7 linked regions of the Cricetulus griseus genome follow. The protein of the gene in region 1 interacts with the protein of each later gene in a pairwise test. Links are inferred from orthologs where the notes say so. Each region holds a gene or a part of one and is shown in the gene's direction. Other genes may lie near its edges. The genes, in order: Fsd2, leukocyte receptor cluster member 1 homolog, Cdc73, Brd8, Sh2d4a, Pbx3 and Fam107a.

The links.
Region 2: the proteins of Fsd2 (region 1) and leukocyte receptor cluster member 1 homolog interact in binary tests that used the Homo sapiens proteins (3 or more experiments, as listed by UniProt). The two-hybrid records come from large-scale screens. The link is inferred for Cricetulus griseus from reciprocal best matches to the Homo sapiens genes FSD2 and LENG1.
Region 3: the proteins of Fsd2 (region 1) and Cdc73 interact in binary tests that used the Homo sapiens proteins (3 or more experiments, as listed by UniProt). The two-hybrid records come from large-scale screens. The link is inferred for Cricetulus griseus from reciprocal best matches to the Homo sapiens genes FSD2 and CDC73.
Region 4: the proteins of Fsd2 (region 1) and Brd8 interact in binary tests that used the Homo sapiens proteins (3 or more experiments, as listed by UniProt). The two-hybrid records come from large-scale screens. The link is inferred for Cricetulus griseus from reciprocal best matches to the Homo sapiens genes FSD2 and BRD8.
Region 5: the proteins of Fsd2 (region 1) and Sh2d4a interact in binary tests that used the Homo sapiens proteins (3 or more experiments, as listed by UniProt). The two-hybrid records come from large-scale screens. The link is inferred for Cricetulus griseus from reciprocal best matches to the Homo sapiens genes FSD2 and SH2D4A.
Region 6: the proteins of Fsd2 (region 1) and Pbx3 interact in a two-hybrid assay, tested with the Homo sapiens proteins (3 studies listed by BioGRID and IntAct). The two-hybrid records come from large-scale screens. The link is inferred for Cricetulus griseus from reciprocal best matches to the Homo sapiens genes FSD2 and PBX3.
Region 7: the proteins of Fsd2 (region 1) and Fam107a interact in binary tests that used the Homo sapiens proteins (3 or more experiments, as listed by UniProt). The two-hybrid records come from large-scale screens. The link is inferred for Cricetulus griseus from reciprocal best matches to the Homo sapiens genes FSD2 and FAM107A.

Annotation. Positions count from the first base shown.
Region 1 is NC_048596.1:115,970,681-115,974,887, forward strand, and holds the start of Fsd2 (fibronectin type III and SPRY domain-containing protein 2), read left to right. Parts: upstream 1-1,407; coding exon 1,408-2,040; intron 2,041-2,358; coding exon 2,359-2,454; intron 2,455-4,207.
Region 2 is NC_048602.1:21,581,544-21,585,546, reverse strand, and holds the start of leukocyte receptor cluster member 1 homolog, read left to right. Parts: upstream 1-1,203; 5' UTR 1,204-1,272; coding exon 1,273-1,404; intron 1,405-3,247; coding exon 3,248-3,427; intron 3,428-3,908; coding exon 3,909-4,003. Other genes in the region: Tmc4 (transmembrane channel-like protein 4), read left to right, coding at 533-611, 727-795.
Region 3 is NC_048598.1:46,725,254-46,729,314, forward strand, and holds the start of Cdc73 (parafibromin), read left to right. Parts: upstream 1-1,261; 5' UTR 1,262-1,303; coding exon 1,304-1,434; intron 1,435-4,061.
Region 4 is NC_048595.1:202,876,478-202,879,977, forward strand, and holds the end of Brd8 (bromodomain-containing protein 8), read left to right. Parts: intron 1-30; coding exon 31-75; intron 76-1,452; exon of another isoform or gene 1,453-1,809; intron 1,810-2,177; coding exon 2,178-2,237; 3' UTR 2,238-3,079; downstream 3,080-3,500. UniProt on the Homo sapiens protein: May act as a coactivator during transcriptional activation by hormone-activated nuclear receptors (NR). Isoform 2 stimulates transcriptional activation by AR/DHTR, ESR1/NR3A1, RXRA/NR2B1 and THRB/ERBA2.
Region 5 is NW_023276806.1:245,098,716-245,102,215, forward strand, and holds part of Sh2d4a (SH2 domain-containing protein 4A), read left to right. Parts: intron 1-2,496; coding exon 2,497-2,717; intron 2,718-3,112; coding exon 3,113-3,205; 3' UTR 3,206-3,500. UniProt on the Homo sapiens protein: Inhibits estrogen-induced cell proliferation by competing with PLCG for binding to ESR1, blocking the effect of estrogen on PLCG and repressing estrogen-induced proliferation. May play a role in T-cell development and function.
Region 6 is NC_048599.1:146,089,749-146,093,817, reverse strand, and holds the start of Pbx3 (pre-B-cell leukemia transcription factor 3), read left to right. Parts: upstream 1-1,269; 5' UTR 1,270-1,362; coding exon 1,363-1,562; intron 1,563-1,801; exon of another isoform or gene 1,802-1,942; intron 1,943-2,397; coding exon 2,398-2,471; intron 2,472-4,069. Other genes in the region: basic proline-rich protein-like, read left to right, coding at 386-588, 622-1,045. UniProt on the Homo sapiens protein: Transcriptional activator that binds the sequence 5'-ATCAATCAA-3'.
Region 7 is NW_023276807.1:166,707,002-166,711,182, reverse strand, and holds the start of Fam107a (actin-associated protein FAM107A), read left to right. Parts: upstream 1-1,381; coding exon 1,382-1,460; intron 1,461-4,181. UniProt on the Homo sapiens protein: Stress-inducible actin-binding protein that plays a role in synaptic and cognitive functions by modulating actin filamentous (F-actin) dynamics. Mediates polymerization of globular actin to F-actin. Also binds to, stabilizes and bundles F-actin.

The DNA of each region.
Region 1 (4,207 bases):
TCATTGATGGCTTTTCCCCTTATTCTTTGAGGCAGAGACTGTCACTGAACCTGGAGCTCATCAGTCGGGTTAGGCTAGCTGATCAAAGAGCTCCAGGTACCTGCCTGTCTCTGTCCCTCACCCATCTCCCAGTGCTGGATTAAAGAGGCATATTTTAATGATCTGAACTCCAGTCCCTGTGCTTGTGTGGCAGACACTTGACTGACTGGGCTACCTCTCCAGCCCCCAAATGCATCTTTTAATAAAGTGAATGGGACTTTTTGTTTGTTTTTTAAAAATTCATACCCAAGTATGAAAATATCACATTCTAGAAATGCAACATGAATGAGATTTTGTATTTTTTTTTTAAATTTTGTCCATGCAAACACAGAGTGACCATGCTCACCTACATAAGTAGGTGGGAAGGGAAGCAATTTATAACAATGCCAGTCCGTTCTGACAGTTCTTCCTGAAATACATGCCAAAATTGCATAATGACCTATCATGAACATTTATTTTAAATAGTGTGTCAGCTGACAACTTGATTAAATCCTCCTGCAATTTTGTGGGAAGCAAAGAGCTGGAAAGCACTTACCTTGAAAAAATTTTTTCTTACCCATTCATTAATGTCACTCACTGTCAGCATCGATACCTATACTTCAGATTGTCCTTTTGTCTAGTCTCCTGGAGGTTTTATTAGAATCCCAAGCAATGAAATCTCACTGTGCAATGTAATAGTCAGAATGAACAGGAAGTATATTTTTGCTTTTATAATAAAGAAGAGAAGGACTGTTGAGAAAAGAACCTCACATGCTGGCTCATTCCCAGGCAAAGCAACCCAGAGAAATATTAAATACAAACCCAAGAATCTAAAAGCTGATAACTCTTAATAGTATCTGTGCCTGCATTCCCCATGGAAAGCCTCATACACATGCCATGGGGAAAAGACCAATATCATCAATCCCATCTTTTGAAAGAGCCTGAATATGAACAAAAGAGAGGCAGAGATGGTAGCAGGAGGGAAAGGTTAGTTTTAGGCTGGTATCATGCACACTATTATTCCACAGCTTGATTACCTAAAATAACCGATATTTATCATCTTACATATTTTGTGAGGGCTGAGGATTGAGACAAGGTCTTCCAGGTGACTCCACTTCAGGGTGGTACTCCCCAATGCACCTTTCTTCAACAGGGTCCCAATTCCCTCTGCTTGCTAGCCAGCCTGTGTCTCCGTGTGTTTTTCTTGATTGTTGAACAATTGTGAGTCACCTCCAGCCCAGACAGTTTGGTGAATTTGTTTGCCATGATGCAGGCTTCGACCATAACTTCTTTGATGAGATCTTAACCCATAGCCTTCTTGGGAACTGATGTTGATCTCTTCTTTGTCCTAGGATCCACTGACTGTCTGAGAAGGACTGTTCTGTATCAATGGAGCAGGAAGCAGGGGAAGAGCCGGGGCTGGGCAGGTCAACAGCCCCCAAAGACTTCCACTTTTATCACATGGACCTGTATGACTCTGAAGACAGGCTGCAGCTCTTCCCAGGAGAAAGCAGCAGAATCAGGAGAGAAGTAACCCAGGCTGAACAGACCAATGAGCCGAGAGGGACAGTGGACAGTAAGAATCTTCAGAAGGAAGTGGACGAGCTTGTCCATTTATATGGACTTGAAGATGACCATGAGTTAGGGGATGAGTTTGTTGATGAACACAGACTGGGGACTCTGGGGTATCCTTCTTATGGGATGAGGAGGAAAGACTCAGCCAGAGATCAGAGAGGCTGGGGGCTTAGCAGTGAGGCGGCTGAGGCTGAGGAGGACCTGGGCTATGGAGGGCAAGGCCTTCCTGGCCAGTGCCAAGACCTTCGGGAAGCCTACAGGTATACACATGGCCGTGCCAGTGAGGAGTATGAATGCTACGTCATCCCAGAGGAGGAAGATGAAGAAGAGCCTGCTGATGTCTTCTGTGTCACTTGCAAAACTCCAGTAAGAACTGTTGAGAAGGATTTTGAAATACACAAAGAACATGAAGTAACACCACTCAACAAAGCACTGGAAAGTGCCAAGGTAACAGGTCTCCTTCCATCTTTGTCTGGAGAGTATTTGTGAGTCTCAGGGAGGTGGGCAGGGAATACATCCTGAATGCCTCAACTAGGATGGGATGGGGGACTGGAGAGATAGCTCAGCCGTTAAGAGTATGGTAGCTCACAATCACCTGTAACTGTAGTCCCAGGGGATCTGATGCTATCTTCTGGCCTCTGTGGTCACCAGACACACATATGGTATACAGGCATACATGCAGGCAAATGTCCATACATATATTTTTTTAATTTAACAAAATTAAAACAAACATAGCATTAACACCTTGTTTGTTCTGTTCCACAGGATGAAATCCACAAAAACATGTTCAAATTGGAACAGCAGATCATTGAGATGGAAAATTTTGCTAGCCACCTGGAGGAGGTGTTCATTACAGTGGAGGTAAGAACATACTTGGTATTGGGGCTGGAGAGATGGCTCAGAAGTTAAGAGCACTGCTTGTTCTTCCAAAGGTCCTGAGTTCAATTCCCAGAAACCACATGGTGGCTCACAACCATCTGTAATGAGATCTGGTGCCCTCCTCTGACCTGCAGGCAACATGCAGGCAGAACACTGTACACATAATAAATAAATAAATAAATAAATAAATATTTTTTAAAAAAGAACCTACTTGGTGATTTCATCACACGTGTAGCTTCCATCCGTGGCCACAATAAGCAAATGGTATTTCTTTTCTTTTTTTGAGACGGGGTTTCTCTGTGGCTTTGGAGGCTGTCCTGGAACTCACTCTGTAGACCAGGCTAGCCTCGAACTCACAGAGATTCACCTGCCTCTGTCTCCCAAGTGCTGGGACTAAAGGCGTGTGCCACCAACACCCGGCCGCTATTTCTTTTCTTTTTCTTTCTTCTTTTTGTTTTGTTTTTCCAGACAGGGTTTCTCTGTGTTTCAGCTCCAGCTGTCCTGGAACTAGCTCTTGTAGACCAGGCTGGCCTCAAACTTACAGAGATCCCCCTGCCTCTACCTTCCGAGTCCTGGGATTAAAGGCATGTGCCTCAGACCTATTTCTTAGAATGTGAGGTGTCACCTGTCCCCTCCCTTCAGCTCTCCATAGATTTTACACACACACACACACACACACACACACACACACACACACACACACATACACACACACATACACACACACACCGGGTAGCTACAGAGGTGATGGTCACTTGTCTGCATCCCCTACTACATTTACTATGTCATCTAGGTGGGAGAGGCTGGTGTGTGTGTATCTCCAGGTCTGTTACACTGGATGTTTCAAAGCAAGTGTGTTTATACATGTTTATTATATGGATAAATAAAGCAGAAAATTTCCAATCAAAGTGCCAATTGCATGGGGTTTAGAATTTTTTTTTAATTCCAACAATGAAAACTATGGTAGCCCTATCCAGATGGTGAAATGAACAGTTTTCTTCTGTCCTTGAAGCTGGTGTGTGGTGGGGAACATATATGTGTGTTTGTGTGTACCTGTGTATACAAGTGTACATACACATGTATGCTCATGCATGTGAGGCTCAGAGGTCAAGTTTGGGTGTCTTCCTCAGCCACACTGTACCTTATTTTTTGAGACTGGGCCTATCACTGAAATTGGAGTTCTCTAATTTGGCTCACCTGGCTGGCCAGCAAGACCTGGAGATCCCCGTTTCCAGTCACCTCAGTGATGGGATTACATAGGATCACTACTGCACCTGGCTTTTTATATAGGTGCTGGAGATCCAAATCCAGGCCTTCATACTTGCTTGGCAAGCTCTTTGCCCCAACTGAACCACTTCCCTAAACCCCTGCCCCTGATGGGCTTTTTGTTTGTTTGGTTGTGTTTAGGTGGAAGTCCTACCTGCCTCTATATCTATTCAAAGAGGTTGGAATGTTTGGTAGCCTGTTTCAAACCCTGCCCTCAGGTTGCCAAGGGCAGGCCATCCCCTGGAGTCACCTAAGTCCAGACTCTACCCCTAAAAAACCTACCATTGGTGGCCCCACCCTGGAGGATGTTAAAATCCCAATCTCTGGATGCAGCTCCTAGTTCCTGGTTTTCTCTTCTCCTGGGGCCACCCAGGAATGCTTTGCTCAGATTAAACCTGGATTTATTTATTTGGTCTGATTGGTTTATTGTAACAGTGGTAGGAGGTTTCCAGTAACCTTTCCACTGACT
Region 2 (4,003 bases), on another chromosome or scaffold:
TGTGTGGTTTAGTGTTGGGGGGTTGGGGGCTGCTAGAGAGGAGGGCTGCTGCCTGGGTACCTATGGCATGGAAGACAACTGGGGTCTCCCTAGATCTGGTTTGGGGTCTGGATTCCCGGGTCTAAGGAAAAGAAGTCTGGGTTTGAACACTGGGTCTAAAGGAGGTCTGCAGTCTAGACCCCTGGTCAGAGGGAGGAGGGCAGAGGTATGGACTCCTCCTGGTCTGAAGCAGAAGCCAGTGGCCCTTGGGGGTCCTGATCCTGGTTTCTTTTTTGGGGGGGGGTTCGAGACAGGGTTTCTCTGTGGCTTTGGAGATTGTCCTGGCACTCCCTCTTGTAGACCAGGGTGGTCTCGAACTCACAGAGATCCGCCTGCCTCTGCCTCCCTTAGGGCTGGGATTAAAGGTGTGTGCCACCAGCACCGGGCGTGATCCTGGTTTCTAAGGAGCCATATGATGAAGGGGTGTGTGTGTGTGTGTGTGTGTGTATTTATTTTATTTTTCTGAAGTAACTTTCATCCCTGTCTTCCTTAGCATCCTGATGGTGTTTACAATAGCCCTGGCTAACTCTTACGGACGCCTCATTTCCGAGCTCAAACGCCAGATAGAGACGGTGAGCCATGGTGCTTCCCCGGCCAGGGCCCCCTGGGAACCTGGGAAGGACTCGGGTGTAGGGTGTAGAGTAGGCCTGCCTCACTTCCACCCCCTTTCTTTTTTCTTGCCCTCAGGAAGCGAAGAATAAAGTCTTCCTAGCCCAGCGAGCTGTGGCTCTGAGCTCAGCGAACGGAGCCATCTGACCACCCGAGACCCGTGGTTACACCTCCCTATCTGGTACCCTGTGGTCTCTGGATCGAGTCCTCCGCACCCCACCCCACCCCACCCACCCCAGTGCCACACTCTCAGTTGCACCGTTATTAATAAACAACAGCTTTGCATTTTGAAGCCGGGTCCTGAAGCTGGGGACAGGGTTTAGGGAGGGGCCTGATCCGGGTCCCGGGTTGTGTCTGCGAGCAGAGGGCTAGACAAGGCGGGGCAGCATCAGCCCTACACGGCGGCGTCCGGGGTGGAGCGACCCGGGGGTGGCAAACGTTTGGGATTGGCTGTGATGGAGGGCCTCTTAGCCAATCACCCCTGGATAGGGTCATAAGTGGGCGTGGCGTCTGGCCGGGAACCAATGCACAGGCGAGGGTGGGGCCACGGGGCGGGGGCACCCTCGCGCCAATCGGAAGTGTGGGAGTCGGGGGCCCGCTGGCTCGGAGGTCGGCGGGGGGACCATGAATATCTTGCCCAAGAAGAGCTGGCACGTCCGAAACAAGGACAACGTCGCCCGCGTGCGGCGCGATGAGGCCCGGGCGCGGGAGGAGGAGAAGGAGCGTGAGCGGAGGGTGCTGCTCGCCCAGCAGGAGGTGAGCCTGGGCTGGCCCGGAAGCGAGGCGGGCCTCGCTGGGTCGGTGGGTGACTCGGTGGCAGCCGCGGGTCTGTGCTTGCTGACGCTTCTCCGCAAATCCTTTGCTGACTTGCGCGAAACCGTCCTGGATCCCCTTCCCCCCCCCCCCCTGGTGTGGCTGAAGTGACCGCAGGCTAGCACGTCGGAGTGGGACGGCTGCCCCGATCACTTTGGAGATCGTCCGCACAAGTTAATTACTGAGCACCCACTGTATGCGTGCCCCCCCTCCTGCAGAGCGCTAGACTTGACACGACCCTCTTAGAGCGACTTGGAGTTGCAAAGGCTTCAACGAGGAGGGCAAAGGGCGGGCAAGCCGGAGTGCACTCCGTTAGACCTCTTCTTTCTCCACCATTGCTCCCCCAAACACACCCAGAGGCTGGCTTGCTCTCTCTCTCTCTTTTTTTTCTTCTTTCTTTCGGTTTTTTGTTTGTTTGTTTTTATTTTTCGACACAGGGGTTTCTCTGTATTGCTTTGGAGGCTGTCCTGGCACTCACTCTGGAGACAGGGCTCGAACTCACAGAGATCCCCCTGCCCCTGCCTCTGCCTCCCGAGTGCTGGGATTAAAGGCGTGCGCCACCAAAGAGGCTTTCTTTGAAACAGGGTCTATGTAGCCCGGGCTGCCCTGGAACTGGCTATGTAGACCAGGTTGGTCTCGAGCTCTGAGATCTCTTGCCTCTGCCTCCTGAATGTGGGATTGAAGACCACGCATGCATGCACAGGCGTTAGTAATTACTCAATCATGTTAGTTTACAATTAAGTCCCTTGGCCAATCTGATCATGAAGTAGTGTGGGTATTTAAAATTTCGGAAGTAGCCGGGCGTTGGTGGCAATGCAGAACCTACCTGGGATGGGAGTGACACGGGCCATCACTAATGTGTTTGGGATGCTGACCTGGAGCCACACCTGGGGTTCAGATCTTTTGTCCAGAAACTGTGTTTGGCTTCCTAATAAGCTGTATTTGGGAGTTTGTACATGTGTGTGCTGGGCATACACTAAGCAGGGGCTCTATGGGTGAACAAGCCACCTCTATACCTTATAGCTGAGTAGTTTTTGTTTTTTTAGATTTTATTTATTATGTATACAGTCTTCTGCCCACATGCCAGCAGAGGGCACCAGATCTCATTCAAGGTGGTTGTCAGGAATTGAACTCAGGTCCTCTGGAAGAACAGTCAGTGCTCTTCACCGCTGAGCCATCTCTCCAGCCCCTAGCTGAGTGGTTTTTGATAGCTGTTTTTCTTGCATGACTCCAGGCTGTGGAAACCCTTCTGTTTTAGGCTGGGATCTCCCCAAATATCCCTGGTAATCCAGTTAACTGTTTAAAAACAACCATTCTCGTCGGGTGGTGGTGTCGCATGCCTTGAATCCCAGCACTTGGGAGGTAGAGGCAGGCAGATTCTCTGTGAGTTGGAGGCCAGCCTGGTCTACAGACTGAGTTCCAGGACAGCCAGGACTGTTTTACAGAGAAACCTTATCTCAAAAGCCAAACCAAACAAAAACCCCATTCTCCACTTCAAATTAGAAATGGTGTCTTTTCTGGCTCCCAGTACCTCTACCCCCGCCCCCCCCACACAATTTTTTTTTTTTTTTAAACCTTTTTCCAGATAGCTTCTCTCTATGTAGCCTTGCCTGCCCTGGACTCTGTAGACAGGCTGGCCTCGAACCCACAGAAATCCACCTGCCTCTTTCTTCCTCCTGAGTGCTGGGATTAGAGGCGTGTGTCACCACCAGCCGGCTCATGGCCCTTCCTTGGAGCCCCCAGCACTTCTACGTTCTGAATGTCCTGCCTATAACTTTCTTCACAGGCCCGAACAGAATTCCTACGGAAGAAAGCCAGGCACCAGAACTCACGCCCTGAGCTGGAAGCAGCAGAGGCAGGCGCTCCAAGTTCTGGCCCTGTGGACCTGTTTAGGGAGCTGCTGGAAGAAGGGAAAGGAGTGCCCAGAGGCAATAAAGAGCATGAAGAAGAGAAGCGACAGGAGAAGGTAAGCTGCTGGCCTCTGTTGGCTGATTTCGGTGGGGTGGGGTGGGGCGCTACCAGCTGTGACTAACAGCTGTTTCTTATGTTAACCTTAGCTAGTTTATTTTGAGATGACACCTCAACTACACAGACAGGCTGTCCTCCAGCTCACAACCCCCTCCGGCGCTGGCCTCCTGAATGCTAGTCGTCAGCATCTGTCGCCAGATGGCGCTTGTGCTTCTCACATTGTGAACTGTACTGTGGCTCTCCTGCATCCCACTGAAACCACTCCTCTGCTTTGCTGCAGTTTTTCCTTAGACGCCCCCTGCAGATTAGCCATCAGCACTTTTGCGTAGCTGGCCCCTGGTCTGTGATTTCCCTTGTTGAATACCCACCAGCCCCTGCCTCACTGGGAACTCAGGCCCTGGGTTTCCCTACTGCCACATGCCATATCTAGGGCTCCCAGAGGGACTTGGGAAGACTATTTTGTTTTCTTGCCCCCACAGGAGAGGCAAGAGAAAGCACTAGGCATCCTGACGTATTTGGGCCAGAGCGCAGCAGAGGCTCAAACGCAACCTCCTTGGTACCAGCTCCCCCCAAG
Region 3 (4,061 bases), on another chromosome or scaffold:
AATATCGAGGGCGCTAACTACTGTGGTGATACTTTGTTTATAATCTAACAAAGCTTGTCTGAAGATAAGAATGTAAAGCTAGTCACAGCCAAAGAGGCTCAGCAGTGGTGGTACACACTTTTAATCCCAGGATTCAGGAGACACAGGCAGATGAATGTCTGTGAGTTCAAGGCCTGCTTGGAGAAACCCGGTCTCGAAACCAAACCAAACCAAACCAAACCAATCCCGTAGTCTGAAAGTGTATTAACTCATAGTTTGAGGTTTCTGAATGATCACCGCCTCACTTCACAACCTGAACCCATTTGAGGCTTTTGGTCATTACCCGGGAGAAGTTGCGGGGATGGAAAAAGTTATTTCCAAAGAAAGGAAGGGGAAGAGTTAACAAGTAATTGTACTTCATCGACGCGTTAGGATGCTTTCAGCTTACTCTAGTATTCATTTTATCCCGTCCATCAACCAAGCTAGGAGACCAGCGGCTCCCAAATGGTGCCCGAACTGTTTTCCAAGTGGTCTCATCCTCTTTGCAAATCCACCCCTAATCAAAACTCAACTTAAACTACAAAACGTCTACATTCCAACACCCCCAGTTTTCGGTAGCAGTTTATCCTGACCACAGGGACCTAAATGGTCCGCAAATTGAGGAAAGCGAAGCCTGGGGGGGGGGGGGGAGGGGGAGAGGAGTCAAAGAACTCAGCGCGCGCTCTAGGATTCCATGGACAGAAGCGCCCGGCAGGTGCGCGCGCACCTGTCCTCGCTCGCTCGCTCGCCCGGTCGCCCAGCGCAAGCTATGCGCTCGCCCAGTGCGCGCCGTGGAGCCCGAGCCGGGCCCAGTTCCGCTAATGCGCCGCACCTGAGAGCGGCGCGGCCGCTCGCCCCGTTTCCCCGGAGTCGGCGGGCGGCGTGCCCCGCGGGAGTCTGGGAGGCTCGTCCGCTCGCACCGCCTCCTGGCGGCGGCCCGCGGGGCTGGCGGAGCGTGGGTCAGTCAGGCGTTCTCCGCGGGCAGCCCGCGGCGGGGCCTTGCCTTATATAGCGCGGGGTCCTCGGCGGCCTGGGTGGCTGCTGCCCGTGCTGCTGTCGTAGACGCGGACGGCTGTTAGTGAGGCGGCTGTTGGTTCGCGGCGGCGGCGGCGGCGGCGGCGGCGGCAGCGGCGGCGGCGGCGGCGGCGGCGGCGGCGGCGCGGCCGGAGAGGGCGAGGCGACGGGGAAGGAGGAGGCAGGCGCGGCGGCGACGGCGGTGGCCGGGGCCCGCGGCGGCGGCGGCGGCGGCGGCGGCGGCGCGGCAGCGGCAGCGAGGGGGGCGAAGATGGCGGACGTGCTCAGCGTCCTGCGACAGTACAACATCCAGAAGAAGGAGATCGTGGTCAAGGGGGATGAAGTGATCTTCGGGGAGTTCTCCTGGCCCAAGAACGTGAAGACCAACTATGTAGTTTGGGGGTGAGTGCGGCGTGGCCCGTGGCCTAGTGGTGGCGGGGCAGCGCCCGGCGCCCCCGGCGCCCCCGGGCGACCTCGTCCCTAACCCTCTCCTCTCCCCCCCGAGTCCCTCGGGGATGGGAGGAAAACGGGGGGCTCGGGTGGTGGTGGTGGTGGTGGTGGTGATGGTGGGGGAAAGTTCTTCTCTGGAGCCGAAGTTGCACTTTGCGGGGGAGCGCGTTCGCGAGCGGTCAAGTCTTTGCTGTGTTGGAGAAGCCACAGGGAGAGGTGCCATGGGAGTTTCCGACTTTCCCAGTTGGTGTCCACCAGGATGTCCTGGCTGGTGGTCGGCGCCGGGGAGGGCTGCGCTCTGCACGGCTACCTGCACCTAGGTGCAGAAGCACAAAGCACAGCATCTGGCGGCCACCCTTAGTGTTTTTGTTAGTTTGGTTTTTCTCCCAGAGGCTGCCATGTGTTGCAACTGTCTCTCTCTTCTGGCTCTTGGAGCGCCAGGGTAATTTAGTTTCTTTCTGCCTCAATCCCCCCCCCCCCTTTTCATAATTGGGGAAGGATGATGCTACGCTTCAAGAAAAAAATAAAGAGGGGAATAGACTACTACTACTTGAAGCTCAGGAAAGAAAGAGATTGGGGAAGAGTTTGGAAAAGTCTGCCAAAATCACTGTTCGAGATGAAAGCAGGACTTGGTTGGGGGAGAAAAGTTACTGGTGAAATGCCGTGAGTTTTTTACATACGGGTCTGAGAAACTGATCCTGTGTGCTTTTCCGAAAGCACCCTAAAGAAAAAAAAAATGTTTGGGAACATTTCTATGTATGCATGGCACGAATTTAAGTCATTCAGGAAATCACCAAGGATGAAGTTTAATAATCCTTTGGGGCCTCTTTAATGATGCTACTGTTACTGTCATTGATGCTTCGTTTTGATAATTGGAGTCTCGGAGTCAATTTTGGTACGAATTTTTTGCTTGATTGAGTGACTTTATGAATGGTCATTGAAAAACTAGAAAATTTTAAGATTTTTTTTTATTTTTTGTTTCTTGTTTTTTTGAGAGAGGATTTCTCTGTGGCTTTAGAGGCTGTCCTGGAACTAACTTGTAGACCAAGTTTGTCTCGAACTCAAAAAGATCAGCCTGCTTCTGCCTCCGGAGTGCTGGGATTAAAGGTGTGTGCCACCACCGCCCGGTTTAAGATTTCTTTTGACTATTGATTCCCATTTTGAAGTGTTGACTAAGTGACATTCCCGGTTTACCGTGTTTCACTCTTTCAAATAAATTACGCAGAAATTGGATTATAATGGATATTTTTCTTTATAAAAACTCAAGGTATAGCTGAGTGTGGTGGTGAAAGCCTTTAATCCCAGCACTCGGGAGGCAGAGGCAGAGGCAGGTGGCTCTCTTGAGTTCAAGGCCAGACTGGTCTACAAAGCGAGTTCCAGGACAGCCAGGGCTGTTTTACAGAGAAACCAAACCAAACACCACCACCCCCAAAAAAACCCCACAAACAACAAACAAACAAAAACACCTCAAACAAAAACACCTTTATAAAGAAGTTTAATTTGAGAAATAGAAAAAAAGCTGAAAACTCTGATTCCTTCCTGCCTTTCATGAGGTTAGCCTATTTTGGGTAGAAAAGACCAAACAGATTAAGTTGATGTGAAATGTTTCTAGCTGATCTAACGAGAACAGTTATTTGTGGTTTACTTCTAAACTGGGCAGTGCACATCTTTAATCCCAGCACTCTGGAGGCTATGGCAGGCGGATCTGTGAGTTCCAGGCCAGCCTCATACAAAGCTCGAGTTCCAGTACAGTCAAGGCTATACAGAAAGCTTGTCTCGATCCCCTCCACCCCCCTGCACCAAAAAAGTTGTTTATGTCTAGGGGAGGGGGATATTTAGAAACAGTTCATGGAAATATATTTGACATGTGTCCATTCTACAAAGCCCCTTCCTTGAATAAATGAACAAATAGATGAATAAACTTTAAAGAATGGGTAAGAATTCTGAGTGAAATGGGGGAATAGCCTTCCAGTATGAGGGGACTGTGTATTTAAGATATGAAACCTGGAAAGGAGGTGTTTCCAGGAGGAAGAAGGGAGAATTGGAAAGCTGTGTATGTGTTAGTATTAGAGAGCTTGTACCCCCAAGACTACATTGTTTAATCACAGATAGAATTGTATTTTGGTTTTGTGTCACTCACTGGTCTAGTTTGAGAGATGTTACAAGGATCATGCCCTTGAAGTTGATCCTGTTTACTTTTCAGTATATTGTTGAGGATGTCGTATGGCAGTATCTTGTTTGGAAAGAACCATAAGATGTTCATTTTGTAAGTGCAGCCCTGGTGATACCTCCCCTAAGCAGTTTGTTTTCCCTGAATGATCCTTTTTATTGTGCAACTGGCTGGGTTTCTTTCTCTGTTGACAGAGCCCAGAACTCAATTTATGTGTAAAGTGAGGGTGAGGATGTAGACCAGTTGGTAGAGTGCTTGCCTAGCAAGAATGAGTTCCTGCATTTGATCTCCAGCACCACATACAACATGCACCCTCAGCTGTATAGCAGATTTGAGGCCAGCTGGGATACATGAGACCTTGCCTGCCTTAAAAATAGAAAAGAAAAAAAGTATATATAGAATATGAATT
Region 4 (3,500 bases), on another chromosome or scaffold:
CCTGATCAGTATTTGTTTGTCCTCTAACAGGACAGTGTCCCCATGGGCTCTCCTGCCTTCCTTCTCTCTCTCTTTGTAAGTATTGAATGGCTGCAAGGGGTGATGTTGCCAGAAAAATTCTCAACTCCTGCTGGGCCTGGGTGGCAGAGGGAAATCCAACATGCAGACTGTGGCAGTGTCTTGAAATTCTTTTTATCCATTGAATAAGAAATTCTTTTCTTCTGCATTCTGGTCTCTTTGCATGTGTGTGTATGTGTGTGTGTCAGAGGGAGGGGGCTGGGGGAACTGCTGTAAGATCACTGCACTGAAATATGAAGTGTTCTTGGGGTAAAGACCTAGGATGCACCTGCTCCTCATTTCTTGCTTCCACCTTTTACCAGTTCTTATGAGTGGAAGATAGCTCAGAGCAGCACCTGCTGCTTGGCTTTTTAGCAGTATTGGTAGATATTTAACACACACCTTTCCACTTCCTCCTAACTAAATTGAGAGACTCCACAGATAAACCCTCACTAAAAATTAAGCTGGTAAAGGTACTTGCCATGGGAGTGACCTGAGTTTGACCCACAGACCCCAATGAGAGTGGAAGGAGAGAGCTGACTCCACAGAGTTGCCCTCTGAACTCCACATGTGCAGCATGGCACGTGTGCTCCTACACAGACCTCACACGCAGGAGTGGTAATGTTTTTAAAGACTTTTTAAAGATCTCAGTAGCAGTGACTACTGGATGCAATAATAGCTGGTGAGATTATAGATAAACATAATAGATCTAGCCAAAAGGCTTTTATTCTTTTGCTCCATAAATTAAATGACTGATTCTGTTCATGGTAGAGCAGTGAAGTAAGGGACAAAACATGCTGAAAACTACATGGTCTTAAGATCATTAGCTAACCTTAATTTTCTCCTCTATGTGATAGAAGTAATAATGAGTTGAGGGCCAGGAGGATTGCCCGCAGGATCACTGCATGCCTAGGCTGTGGAGTAAGACCCTGTCTCAAAAAAAAAAAAAAAAAAAAAAGCAGGAGGGAGTACTAGAGAGAGGCACAGAAGTTAAGAACACTTGATGCTCTTGGAGAGGATCTGGGTTGGGTTTCCAGCAACCACATGGTGGCTCACAACTGTCTGTAATTCCAGTTTCAAGGAACCCAAAGCCCTTTTCCAGCCTCTGCAGGCACTGCACACTTGTGGTGCAAGTATACACATACAGGCAAAACATTCATACACATTAAATGAAAATAAGTCTTTAAAAAAAAAAAAAAAGAAGACAAAAGAAAGAGTAAGATTGAGGTACCTGTCCAGCCTACCTCACAGGGATGTTGTGAGGATAAAATAAGTTATAAAATTAACTTGAAAAAAACTATTAAAACGTTACACAAATGCAAGGTGTTATTTCTATTCTTACTGTTGGCTGTTGGCAACTTATGTTCTAAAAATTTTTTAATCCTTGCATATTAGAAATACAGAAATGGTCCGGCCCAGCAGAACTGTTCACTAGTTCATCTTGCCTGTAGACCTGTACCACAAAGAGAACACTGTGATCTCTATTCTTTCTTATTGGCCTGCAACAGTGACTCTGGATCCTCATTCAAGTGGCTGGCTATTGCAAGGCCGGTTAATAAGATCTTTTATCTATGGAAGACAGCAAAGTTTTGCACAAGAGGAAGGAGCTGGGCTACAGGGAGAGAGCAGCAGATGGAAAGAAGCCTGATTGTCCTGATGTCATGGAAAACAACTGTCAGGAGGTGCTAGGGAACTAGTGCCAGGGTCAGTCTGCAGGAAAGGCCTTTCTTATAGGGACCAGCAACTGGACAGGTATGTTAGCCAAGAGCTTCACTACCCTTTCTGCCTCTCCCACCTTTCACTTTCTCTTCCTGTTCTTTACACACAGTGTGGACCTGGGTGGGATGACTGGTAGTCATTCTGTGGGACCTCAGATGAATTTCAAAGACCCTTTGTATTGGCATGAAAAAAATGCTAGTCTTAATAGTTACACTCACAAAATGTCAGGTGTTCTTTTAGCTACTCTGTGGGAAAACAAAGTCCCTTCCACTTCATACCTTTGGTATTCTCTGTAGATTCTTTCCCCCAAGAAATCAAATTCCCAGCATTCCTATTGTATGTTGTCTCTTAACAGGTAACCAACTCACTCATGTTTCTTTCCTTTCTTTGATGTTGTTTAGGATGGGGGAACCAGGGGACGCCGCTGTGCCATTGAAGCAGATATGAAAATGAAGAAGTGAAGCCTCAGAGTTCCCTCTTTGAGCTGAACCTGAAATAGAAATAAACAAGATATAGCTTGGGCTTGTGGGCTCAGGTCTACACTTGATCTTAGTCAAAAGGCTGAGAAGCAGTATGGGCCCAGAAGAGAAGGTTCCTGGGTCAAATGACATGAGTTGAGAAAAATCTCTTTTCAGAGAGTTGGAGTAGCACAGTTGCCCGTTTTAGGGCAAAAATCATGGGCTGTGTTAGTGCCCTAATGTGTAGCTAGAAGATTGTAGCTTATTTGTATTATCTTGTGAAGTGTACAGACTTTTTAAAAAAATAAACCTGTGACGTGTGTGTATATAACAAATAGAAGGAAAACTTTGGCCTTTGGTGTGTGTCCTTTGTGTTTGAAATGTGTTTTCTTCACCATACCTAATCATATATGGGGATAAGATTGTTAGAGCTGAGAAGTGGTCTTATAAGCTGTCTGCTGCAACTGAGAAGAGGTGAGTAACCAAGACTGAATTCATAATTGTGTGAATTAAGTGTGCAATAAGGGCTATTGGGGTTTTCTTGAATGTTTGGGAAACGTTAAGGTTTTCAGGATCTAGTTCATATATAATTCCACAGGGATTAGAGTATGGACAAAGGTGGCAGAATATTGTCAGGAATGTTTTGTGCCAGGACTGACAGCAAATGCTATCAGTATTTCTATAGGTAGAACTCTTGTACAATATTCTTTTGTTTTTTGAGGTGGAGTCTCTGTATTTTGACAAGGCTAGAGCTCAAAATCCTCCAATTTCAACTTCCCCCGTAGCTTGGATTACAGGTGCATGTACCACATTGGGCTAAGTGATTTAAAAAAAAAAAAAAAAAACAAAACAAAACCATGCACACACAAAAAAACTTATTGTTAAATTTATTTATTTATGTAAAGGTTTATCTCTGAGAGTTGGGAAGTTTAGGGCTGGGAATGTGTTTTGATAGTATAGTGGTGCAGCTCTCAGCTAGTGTTCTTGGCAATCTCCAGTGCTGGGGGAAGGAAATCACTGGAAAACAACATGGTGGCACATACCAGTAATCCCAGCACTTGGGAAACTGAGGCAAGGGGATAACTGACTGTTTGAGGCCAGCCTAGGCTTCAGAGGGAGACCTTGTCTCAATTGGTGGGGCTTGTGTGATGTCTCAGTGGGTTCAGGTGCCTGCTACCATGCCTGACTACCTGACTTTGGTCACTGAAACTCATACGGTGGGAGGAAAGAACTGACTCCTGCAAGTTGTGCTGTGACCTCCACATA
Region 5 (3,500 bases), on another chromosome or scaffold:
TAAGCAAACAGGCAGCATGAGACATAGCCCTCAAGGACACTCCTCCAGTTGCTTCCTCCAGCTGGGCTCTACCTCCCAAAGTTTTATAATCTCCCCAAGTGACTCCAGCATCCAGGAACAAAGCATTTGAGACATGAACTGGGGTATGTGGGTGGGGAGGAAGAGGCTATTTCATATCTCAGCTATGGTGAATGTTTATGGTAGACATGAATCAGCAACCTTTCTAAGAGGCACAGCAATAGAGCTGGGGTCTCTGGGAGAGATGCCTTGGGTTGCTTTCCTTTTGGGTGCCGTTTCCCATCTTGGTAGAGGGATCTATCAGCACTTTCCTAACTCCAGTGCTTGATACATGCTCTCATGCGGGGCTTTGTGGTATAGGACCGGGGTCTTCATCTTCCCCAACAGTGATGGGCAAAGAACAGGTAGGAGAAGTGTTGGTGGGTTGACCTTGGCTTGGGGGGAATTCAAATTCCTCCCCCTATTAAAGATCTATTTAGAGATTTTTTTCTTAACTTTGTGCTCTGGGTGACTTAATGAGCTAAAACTTCACTAGCAATTAGAAGGGCTATGAAAACCATTTGATTTTCACCAGGAAGTGTTCTGTTTGTTTCCTTAATAACCAGAACATGAACATCAGCGCAGAGTGAGAGTGGAGGAGGAGGAACCAGGAGCTCCTCTCTGCTGCAAAGCAGAGTGAACTTGAAAAGAACATTGCTCCTCCCTCCCAAATCAGAGCCCACGGGGTGACTCAGCAAGCTGTGCTGTTGATTATTTTCTGTATGTTTACTATGCTGTCTATTCATTTCAAGAATTACAATAGAACTAAGAAGGGAACTTTCGAACGTTGAGTCAAACTCTATGAACCAAGAAATGAGACTGGGAATTCAAGAGACATCTTAATTATACCTCTCATAAAGCCATATATATATATATATATATATATATTATATATATATATATATATATATATATATATGCACTCATGCTGGGCTTTGTGGTATAGGACCGGGTTTTATTCTTCCCCAACAGTGATGGGCAAAGAGCAGGCAGGAGAAGTGTTGGTGGGTTGACCTTGGCTTGGGACATAAGTAAGTTAAGCTCTAGCCTCTCAAAGACCAGTGGATACATACATTGAAGACTAGTTTTATTAGAATTCAGGAGACCTTGTACTGGTATCCAGCACTCAGTAGATCTATCTTCTGGTTCTGTCACTAACTTGCAGGGCTTCCTAGACCAGGCTGTTTCAACTTTAGCACCGTTGATGCTTTGTGCTGGATAATTTTTACAGTACTTGACTGTTTTGTGTATGTTCAGTAGCACCCCTTGCCTCTACCCCATGAATACAAGTACCACCCACACCCACAACAACTGCACCAGTTACTTCTTACATCACTGTGAACACATCGGACAGTAAGAACATAAGACAGAGAAGATTTATTTGATTCCATGGCAAAGAAACACTGGCAGTGGGAACAAGGGGAAGGTTCTTCACATCATTGCAGACCAGGAAACACTTCACATCATATTGGATCAGGAAGTGGAGAAAAGAGAATTCTAGCCCTCAACTAGCCTTCTTTCTCCTCTTTTCCATCTCATCTACTAGCCAATGGGATGATGTTACCCACATTCAAGGTGGGTCTCTCCCCTTCAGTTCATTCTCTGTGCAAACCACATTAATTTCACAACACATGTGATTTGTCTCCTTTGTGAGCTACTGTTTTAGAGCAAGTCATGTCACTTCCCAGACCTGAGTCCTCACTGACCGACAGTGGTGGCCCTATAAGAGCATCTGAAGTTCATTCGGATCTGACCAATTACCCTCAAGATAATATACCAGATTGTCATAAGTGGTAGACAGCTTGTGTCAATGCAAATGGGTCTCTAAGTGAAACTATTTGTAAATACAGTTCTTTTACTATGTGTCCTAGTTTGCTTCTCTGTTGCTATGATTAAAACACTGACCAAAAGCAACTTGGGGAAGAAAGGGCTTATTCCAGCTTGGAACTCCCAAATTTCAACACATCAAGGGAAGGCAAGCAGGAACTTATGGCAGGAATCTGGAAGCAGAAACTGAAGCAGGAGCCAAGGAGCAATGCTGCTTACTGGCTTGCTCAGTTTGGTTCTGTATACAACTCAGGACTACCTGCCAGGGGTGGCACCACCCAAAGAGGCCTGGACCCTCCTGCATCAATCATTACTCAAGAAAATGTCCCCACAGACCAGCTTGATGGCAGATATTCTTCAACTGAGAGGTCCTTCTTCCAATGTGACCCTATCTTGTGTCAAGCTGACAAACTCTCTGTTTTGCGTTTGTCTAGTTATCAAATACCAAGGGGATTGTTTGTTTGTTTGTTTGTTTTACTGATTCCCAAGGACCGCAAAATACACATGGAACAGCTCTGCCTGTCACCAAACTCTATTCATACAGTGAGGGGCAACACAGGAATGGCTTACAGGTACTTTGCTAAAATGACTTTTCTTTCCCCCTTCCCACAGGGATTCTCACACTAAAGAAAGCAAATGACCTTCTGAGCACAGGTGTGCCAGGAAGTTTTCTGATCCGAGTCAGTGAAAAGATCAAGGGCTATGCCCTGTCCTACCTGTCTGAGGAGGGCTGCAAACATTTCCTCATAGACGCATCTGCCGACTCTTACAGCTTCCTGGGTGTGGACCAGCTGCAGCATGCCACCCTGGCAGATTTGGTGGAATATCACAAGGTGAAGCCACTCATATGCTTAATTTGTCTTGGGAATTATTGTCCTATAGATATATAACAAAGAGGGGCATGGCTAGGGATATTGCTCAAAAGCAAGCAATGGGAGGGGCAGCATATAATTCCCCCTGTCCTTTATCACATCCTCCTGACACACTCAGAGATATCCCACTGGATCTGAGAATACTGGAGATGCACATACTGGTCACATGTGTGAATGGTCCCATGCTAGAACTTGGACTCTAGCAGGAAAGGGAAGCTGCCAGAAGGAAATTGCTATTAAGGTTGTCAAAAGCCAACATATGTTTGCACAAGCCTAGAGTAAAGGGGTGATATCCTGAGGAGGTAGAAGGGCATCTACCACACAGCTGCTACATGACCCTGTGCTTTGATTGACAGGAAGAGCCCATAACCTCCCTGGGGAAGGAACTCCTGCTGTACCCCTGTGGTCAACAAGACAAGCTACCAGACTACCTGGAGCTCTTTGAGTAACAGCTCTAGTCAAGATCAGCCTTCAGCCAGGTTTTCCTCTGGACAGACACCTCGGAGGTGGACAGTTGCCTGTGATGCCAAAATCACTCTGTGACAGAGCCAACAGTGAAGAATGCCTTTGAGGTTAATTGAAACCTTGATTCTGCATAAAAGCTGGAGTTCAAGTCAAGGGGATACATCCTCTCCCCATCCTCATTCTGAAAGGAAAAGGGAGAAGTGTACTCATTTCAGTAACATCCTAATATGAAGAATAGGACCTTGAAGGATATGACCATCATGTTGTATATAAGATAAA
Region 6 (4,069 bases), on another chromosome or scaffold:
CCGCGGGAGGGGCGGGGCTTTGGGATCCTCTTTCCCGGTCTCAGCTCAGGACTTTCGAACGCTCCAATTGGGACAACCCTTTCTTGACTCTGTCCCGCCTCGTTCGGCGTTGAAAGCAAAACGATTGGTCCCGGGCTCGCGGCCTTGTGCCCAGAGGGTACCACCTCTTGACAGGAAGAGCGGGAAAGTGTACCAGGCACTGTCCGAGGCGTGAAGCTCACCTCACGCAATGGGTGACCACGCGGTTGGCTTTGGGGAGACTATCCCGGCCCCCATATACCACCTCCGGATCCCTAGCTGTTAATGATAGGAAAGGAGTAGAAGCCGGGAGGCCCCACTTTGCCGGTCGGGGCTGTCCATCTGCGGAGCGCGGGCGCGACGAGGCATGGGATTCCCGGGCGCGCTCTCTCGCGCCCCACTACCGAGGCCAGAGGGGACGGTCCCAGCCTCGGGGGCGGGGCCTGTGGCGGCGGCGGGAGGTGCAAGGACCAATGAGCGCAGACCCCGCCCCGGAGGCGGGGCATCCGGAGCGCTCCCCCGCCCTCTCGCTGGCCCCCGCCCCTCCCCCCGGCCCTGGCGCCGCAGTGAGTGAGTGGCACTGGCAGCCTGTCAATCCCTCAGCCGAGCGGCCTTCGAGCCCCGGTCCGCGGCGGCTGCTGGCTGGGTGCGCGCTCCCGGAGGTCGGCGGCGACTTCTCCCGCCTCATCCATCTGCTGTCCCCGGCGTGCGCCCGCCGGGCCCTCCATCGGGCTCCGCGCCCCCCGCCGCGTCGACGGCCGCCCCCAAACTTCCTCCTCCGCCCCTCGTCGCCCCGCGGCCCGCCCGTCGGCCTCCTCCCTCCTTCGTCGCCGCCGCGCCGCCGCCGCTCCCTCCCCGGGGCCGGCCGGTGCTCGATCCCGCCAGCTTGAGGCGGCGGCGGGCCGCTGAGGGGAGGGGACCGTCAGGCTGGCGCGGGCCGCGGCGGCGGCGGCCGCGGCGTCCCGACAACTCGGCTAGCGCTGAGGACCAAGTTCGCGGGGCCCGCCCGGCGCGGCGCGGGCGCTGAGGAGGCGGCGCGGCGGCCGCGTGAGGGCAGCGGGCACCGCCGCCCGCCTCCGCCTCGGCCAGTTGCCGCGCGAGCGCGCCGCTTTCCGCCCGCCGCTGTCCTCAGTCTCCGCCGCGGCGGAAGCCGGAGCCGGACGCCGGTCCGCGTCCCCCTCGGTCGCGGCCTCGCCGGGCCGGCCGCCCTCCCCCGCGGGCGGGAGCGCGCGGCCGCCTCCCCTCCCCCTCCCCCTCTTTCTTCTCCTCCCTCGCCACCGCCGCCGCCGCCGCCGCCGCCTCAGCCTTCGCCTCCGCCGCCCGCTCCCGCCCGCGCGCGGCGGGATGGATGATCAATCCAGGATGCTGCAGACTCTGGCCGGGGTGAACCTCGCCGGCCACTCGGTCCAGGGGGGCATGGCTCTGCCGCCTCCCCCTCACGGCCACGAAGGGGCGGACGGCGACGGCAGGAAGCAGGACATCGGCGACATCCTCCACCAGATCATGACCATCACCGACCAGAGCTTGGACGAGGCGCAAGCAAAGTTGGTGTCGTCTCATTAAGCATCTTTTGTGTGTGTACGGGAGCCGGGCTCGGGTCCCGGGTGGCTCCCTGGACCGGGGCCTCAGTGGCGGGCGGGAACTTTCTCCGCCTGCCAGGGCGGGCCTGCCGGGCACTCGCGGTGCCCCCATCGAGCGGGCAAAGTTGCTCTCCGGGCTCGGGACAGCCTCAGTCGGTGCTTCGTCCGTGCCCTGCTGCCCGGCCCCCTCCTCGGATTTAAACCTCCCGCCCGGACTCGTTGCGCTCTGCGTCCCAGCCAGCCCCGGGCCATGCCGCAGAGAAGTGCAACTTTCTCTGCCGGCCCAGACTCACGGCGTCCACTCCCCTCGGCCGGGCCCGGGGTGACCCGCGGCTTCCCCGCAGGTCCGGGTGCGGAGCGCCAAGTTCTCTCTAGGAGGGAGGGCAGCTTTGCAAACTTTGCGGAGCTGTCATCCGCAGATTATCTGGCGGCGGCCGGCCTCCGCGCCCGCTCCCCTGCGGAGCTCTGGCGTGGGGTTCCCCTCCGTGCCGCCCCGGTCCCCGGGGTCCCCGCCGCGATCCCTGGAGCGGAGCCCCCAGCACGGGTCGTCCCTGCGTTCGCCGAGGCTGATGTGTCGGCCCAGCATATGGGTCGCGCTGCTTTTGGGCTGGAGTTCTCACCGCTAGAGCTTGCCTCCAGTCGCGAACTAGTCAACTTGAGTTTTTGTTGACTTCCCGCGGTTCCAAAGAGCTTTTCCACCCCGGGGCCCAGTTTTAAATCTTTGGTCTAACTTAGGAAGTCGCCATATTATTCCAATAGGTGATGCTAACACCTTTGTGTTTTGCTATTTGTTTTTTAGGAAACATGCTCTGAACTGTCACAGAATGAAACCGGCGCTCTTCAGCGTCTTGTGTGAGATCAAAGAGAAAACAGGTAAGACTGCTGCCAGCAGTGGGCCTGGAGATCCCCCTTCCCCCCAGGTGGGGTTAGATCTACTCGTTGGACTCACCAGTTGAGAGCTGCTGCTTTTGGGCACCGCCATCTTTGATCATTCTCTGCTTCCCACCTCCTGATCTTGAGAAAAAAACTGCAATAAATCTGGAGTCTATTTCTCAATTCTGCTTTGATGCAAAATGAAGTATATGTGTGAAAGGGGCTGGTTCGCAGTTCTTTAGGCGGCAGCCCCTGACTGAAGTCAGGGAGGGGGCTCTAGTCAGCCGCCCTCTATTTCTTTTTGCCTTGTTTGTGTAGCAGTTTTTAAAGGGAGCAATGGGAGACTTCCAGGGACCAGGTGCCCGTGAGAGGCATCACCAGAACTTTGTTTTACTTAGACAGCCTTAAGCTTTGGTTCTAGTGGTAGAAGATACAGCAGAACAGACCTCAGTATTATGTCAGTTTTAGGTGGGGAAGATTACTTTTAAGAATTCAGGAAGGAAAATGATGTGCTTAGGCGTATACAATGTATCATACTAATGAGTACTTATATAAAATTGTCTATCTTGCAACTGTTAACAGTTGTAACTGAGTTTCAATATATAAAGAAAAATGTCCACAGATACAGATGAAACAATTTTGATGTTCAAGGCAGGAGTAGATGAGATGATAGGTTTTGCAGACATGCTAGCATGAAAATTGCAGATACATGATTAGGGAAATTTTTGGCAGTTCATTTTGGTTTAATTTTCTTGTCAGATTTTTTCTATTAAAGGTATTTTTACTTTTGACTTAATGGTAAAGCTAAAGTAGAAGTAGGGATATAATTCACATGTGTTAGTTTGTGTTTAGTTATCTTTCCTATATGGCAAGAAACTCCCTTAATTAAGCTTTACCATTAATTTATTTATTGTTGTATGTGTTGGGTGTATCACTTTTTAAAGTTGTTCTTTTGTAAGTTAAGGGAAAGAAGAAAATGTCAAGTCCAGTATATCGCATTTTCCAACTGATGTTGTTTTAATAGTTAAATGTTTGACTTTTTAAATTGAGTTTACAAATAATTGCAAACTGTCTAGAATTGTTAGGCTGGTAGTTGAGTTATACTCTGTTTAAATAGGTACTATTCATATTCCTAAAAGTAATGCAGAGAAGATAATTATTAGTAAATCTTGAAAACTTTATTTGCTTTTCATTCATGCCATGGATTTTTTTTTAATGATAAATTTTTTGGTGATATACTTTTCACTCTGAAAACCACAGTCATTTTAAATTATTGACTTATTGTATGTTGATTTTTTTTTTTAGCTACCTTTAGATTGCCTTGTGATTTAAGATGGTAGATTTTAATCTAACTATAAAGGCATCCAGCATAGAATCTTGGAGACTTTTAATTTGGGAGAATAAAAGTATATAATTCTTAGTATATTATGCTGCTTCATTTCTGAGGGTTTTCTTGCTAGCAGGGCTATACTCCAGTTTGTGCTGACAGCTATGCACTGGGGTATTGATTGTGTTATGAATATTAAAATTGATTCAACTTTATGGCATTATATTGCTAAAGAGAGGGAATTGATACTCTTTTCTAGCAAGAGCCCTCT
Region 7 (4,181 bases), on another chromosome or scaffold:
ATTTCTTGGCCCACCCAGGCACAGCCTGGAACCGTCCAATGCCCTAGACAGTGCCCATGTTTTTCAGATACTAATTTCATGGATCCCTAACTGGCTGCATTCTAAGTATGTAAGTATGGACAAGTCATTTCACCTGCCAAGTCTCAGAGACTTCATCTCTACACTGGAGGTAAGACTCAGCCTTTAGGACTGCCTTGAAGAGTGACTTCAATGACAGAGGCAGTGGAGCAGAATCAGTGTCTGGGGTCAGACCATCTGAATTTGTGCCCTAGCTCCATGATGAGTGACTTCAGAGCAGTAGGTTAGACTCTCTGGGCTTCCGTTTCCACTCCTTTGTAAAATCAGAATGCCAAGAGACCCAACTTTGTAAAGACTAAATGAACTGGAACGCAAAGAGTGCATAATTTATACTCTCTTGTTTTAGATGCACTGTAGCCCAATGCAGGCAGAGCAGGTAACCAAAGCTGTAGACATCTGCATATTCCAAAACTGCTTGATGCACCCTCAGTCTTCCCCTCTGGCTGTTTAAGGGACACCAGAAAGCCAGAGAAATCGTTCTTGTGGCGTCCTACCAACTTTCCCCTTCATCTTCTCTCTACTGCAACAAAGACACTGCTTCTCTGTACTTCTTGAATCTTTGCCGTGTGTTTGTTTACTTGCTTGTGTTTTGAGACAACTCTCACATAGCCCAGTCTGGTCTCAAACTAGCAATGTAGCTGAGGATGACCTTGAACTCCTGATCCTCCTACCTCCACTTCCTAAACTCTAGGATTACAGGTGTGCACCACCATCCCAGCTTTTGTGCTATGCTGCATAATGAAGCCCAGGCTTCGTTCAAGCCCTCTACCAACTAACTGAGCAACATCCTCAGACCACGAGTCAAAAGTACAGATGCATAGTGTTTGCTCCGAACTGCCGGGTTCTTAGCACTTCATGTATACCCCTGCCAAGCCTCACCTTAGTAACCCTGTGGGTGAAGGACTATCGTTCTCCACTCATCTCAGAAGAGGACCCTGGGCTTCTTTTCACCAGCCTGGCTGGGAATGGATCCCAGGAATGGCGCTCCCGAATCCCATACCTGCTTGTAGCCTTCACAGAGGCCAGAGGCCAAGAACTGGGCCAGGTAGGCAAGAGGCCAGGCTGGAAGGAAGCCGGGCCGTGCTCCATGTGATGCTGCAAGGGTGTCCAGACGCCCGCTGCGCCCTGACTGCTCCGGGCACAGAGACTGCCTGTGCTCCCAGCGGTCTTACACCACCGCTGTGTCTCAGAAGCCTAAGGTAACCGGATCCCTGGGCGGGTGGAGCAGCAGGGCTTCACTATCACTGAGACGCTGCTCAGGCCCCCAGTCCAGACTCTGCGATCGGGACACTCAGCTCAAGGCATGGCGCAGAAGCTGGGCGAGTGGGGCAAGGCACCCGCTGAAGCCACCGGGCTGTACCGGGCGATGCTGCTCAGGTCGGGTAAGTGGAAACCACGTCGCCGCCGGGACCACCCTCTGCAGACTGCAGGGTCCTGGTTCTTCCTTTCTTGGTGCCCAGGTTTTTTGGTTCCCATCATCTCAAAGCTTTGACGTTTCTCCATCACTCTTTGCTCTGTCCTTCCTTTATTTTTTTCTCATTTTTTCCTTCCATCCTTTGCCCTCATCCTGAGTGAGGAAACACATGAGCATGCACAAATGCAAACTTGTGCTTCCACTCCACATCCTGCCTGCAGGGGTTCCGCGAGGTCCCTGTCGGGGTTAGTACCTGGCAGTGTTCCCAAGAGCGTGCACTGGCAGTCAGGGAGGGAGGGAGGTCTGACAGCCAAGCAGGAAGGAATTCCACGGAGGAAGAAAGCCCTGAGTCTTGGCCACCACGGTTGCCCATGATGAGGGGACAGCATGGGTCAGGCAGCTCATAAGGCATTTGCTAAATGTGGGCGTGCAAAAAATTGGGAAGGAGGCATATGGCGGTCTTTTGGATGTTGTGGATGTGGTTGGATGGCAGGTGTTCATCTCTAAACTTTTTGTTTTCTTATGTGCGGAGAAGCACTGTATTTTCTACTCAGGAAACTTTAAAGGCCTTTTAGCCAAATAATAAAATAAATGAATATATGGTCAGCATAAAAATAGTTTGGGAAAACATCGAGATATAGAAAAAAGGGAGAAAATGCCCTTGATGAGGGCTTAGGATGTTTCCTTCTGGAGCTGAACTCAGGGAGGGGGTTTGGGGAACGGTAAAAGTGATTTGAAAGTGTCAACGGATTTGGCTCCCTGACCAGCAGCCTTCTCTGCAAGGAATGGGTCTCAGCCAAGAGTCGGCAGACTGGGTCCAAGGCGCCGTTGGGTCCGCCTACAGCTTAGGGATCAGAGTTGCTGCCCTGCACCACCCCGACCCCACCCCCAACTCCCGCCCCTGCCGACTGAGATATTGCCGCCTAGTTACTGGTTGTGAACATTTGAACAAGGGTTCTCTTAAGTCCCCAAACAATAACTTACCAAGGATTCAAAACCAACAATGGCTTCCTGGGGGCTTCCTTGCCTGCATAAAGCCAGCAACCCCCAATAGAAGAATCAGATTTCAAAGTTCCGTGTTGAGGTGCCCGTTCTCCTAAAGCGGGCAGCAAGGTTCCCTAACCCGAAAGACCCTGAGTTTTCTCTAGCTGTGAATGTTTTTCTCAACTTTTGGTGCATCTACACAGCAGACAAGTCAGAGCTCCCGAGTCACAGGCTTGTCTCCCTGAGGCCTCCCTGAGGGCTGAGTGCTTACTGATAGAGTAAGCACTAGAAACATCAAATGTTTAGTTCCACCTTCCCAGTTCTGCCAGGTCGCACTAATCATCCTCTCCCTTTAGTGAATAAGGTGACAGTTCCACAGAGCTGCAACAGCAGCCCATAGTCTGCTAAGGAGGTTTCCACCCTCCCCAGAGACAGAAAACACTTTCAAACTCAGAGCTACCTCTCCAAAGTATGATTAGATCCGTGGTTCTCAACTTGTTTGGGGTTCCACAGGGGTCACATACCAGATATCCTGCATATCAGATATTTACATTACGATTTATAACTAGCAAAATTATGGTTGTGAAGTAGCAATGAAATAATTTTATGGTTGGGGGGTCACCACAACTGAGAGATTGTATTAAAGGAAGGCTGAGAATCACTGATTTAGACAAAGAGTGACAATTGTTCCCATCTCTGCAATATAGTGATGCTTGCATCCATAGATCAAAGGGGCAGGACTTACCCCATAATCCTACTAGCTACAAACACCTGATAGTTACACTTAAGGATGTTGCCTTCTAGTTTATCCCAGGAATAGTTTACCTGTACATTTGTTTCATACTGAATTTCCAGTTTTTTCACTTCAGTGGGAACTTTAATGCTGTTACATGATGTAATAGCATCACTTAGGCAGGTGGCCCAGCTCTGGGGCTGAGGTTGCCATGCCTATGTCCTCCATTCTTCAGAACAACTGCCCAGTTATAGAGATGAGGAAGGCATGTTGAAGGTCTCCTAGCTGTACAGCAGTCCATCCAATGTTGGTGCCTGGGTTGGCACAGATACTCATAGCCCCCTGACTGGAAGAACTCACTCTGTGATATAACTCATGCTCAGTCATACCTGGAAAGCTATTGTCCTTCCATAAAAGTCTACCAGGCAAGTATTACTTTCACCCTGGGGAGAAAGGCTTCTGTCTGCATCCTGGTACCTCCCCAGGTCTGTACTCCTTGTTAGCCACCAGGGGGCAGTAAAACCTCCATTCCACTACTATTGCCAAGGAACATTACAAACAAACAAACAAACAAACAAACAACAAAAAGACCTGAACCCTGGTGCAATTTGAACCTCACATAAACAACAAAGAAGAGTTTATTGCAAGTAGCTCCAAAGATAAAATGGATGTGCTTGTACAAACAAAACAAAAAAATCCATTGTTTATCTGAATTAAATTCTAGGAGTGCTGCTTTCCCCCACCCTTCCCCCAGGCCTGCAACCATGGGCTTTCTGAAGTTAGATGGCTTTCTATGATCTTCCCATCACACATACATACACCTGGGAGGCACGGGAAAGGGAGGGAACAACAGAATATATCCTGGTTTGTCTCACTGATAGGAAAATGAAATAGGGGTAAGATCACTCTTAGAGACCAAATTCACCATGCCAATGGCAATGGGTTAAGAGCCAGTTTTTGGAAAAAGAACTC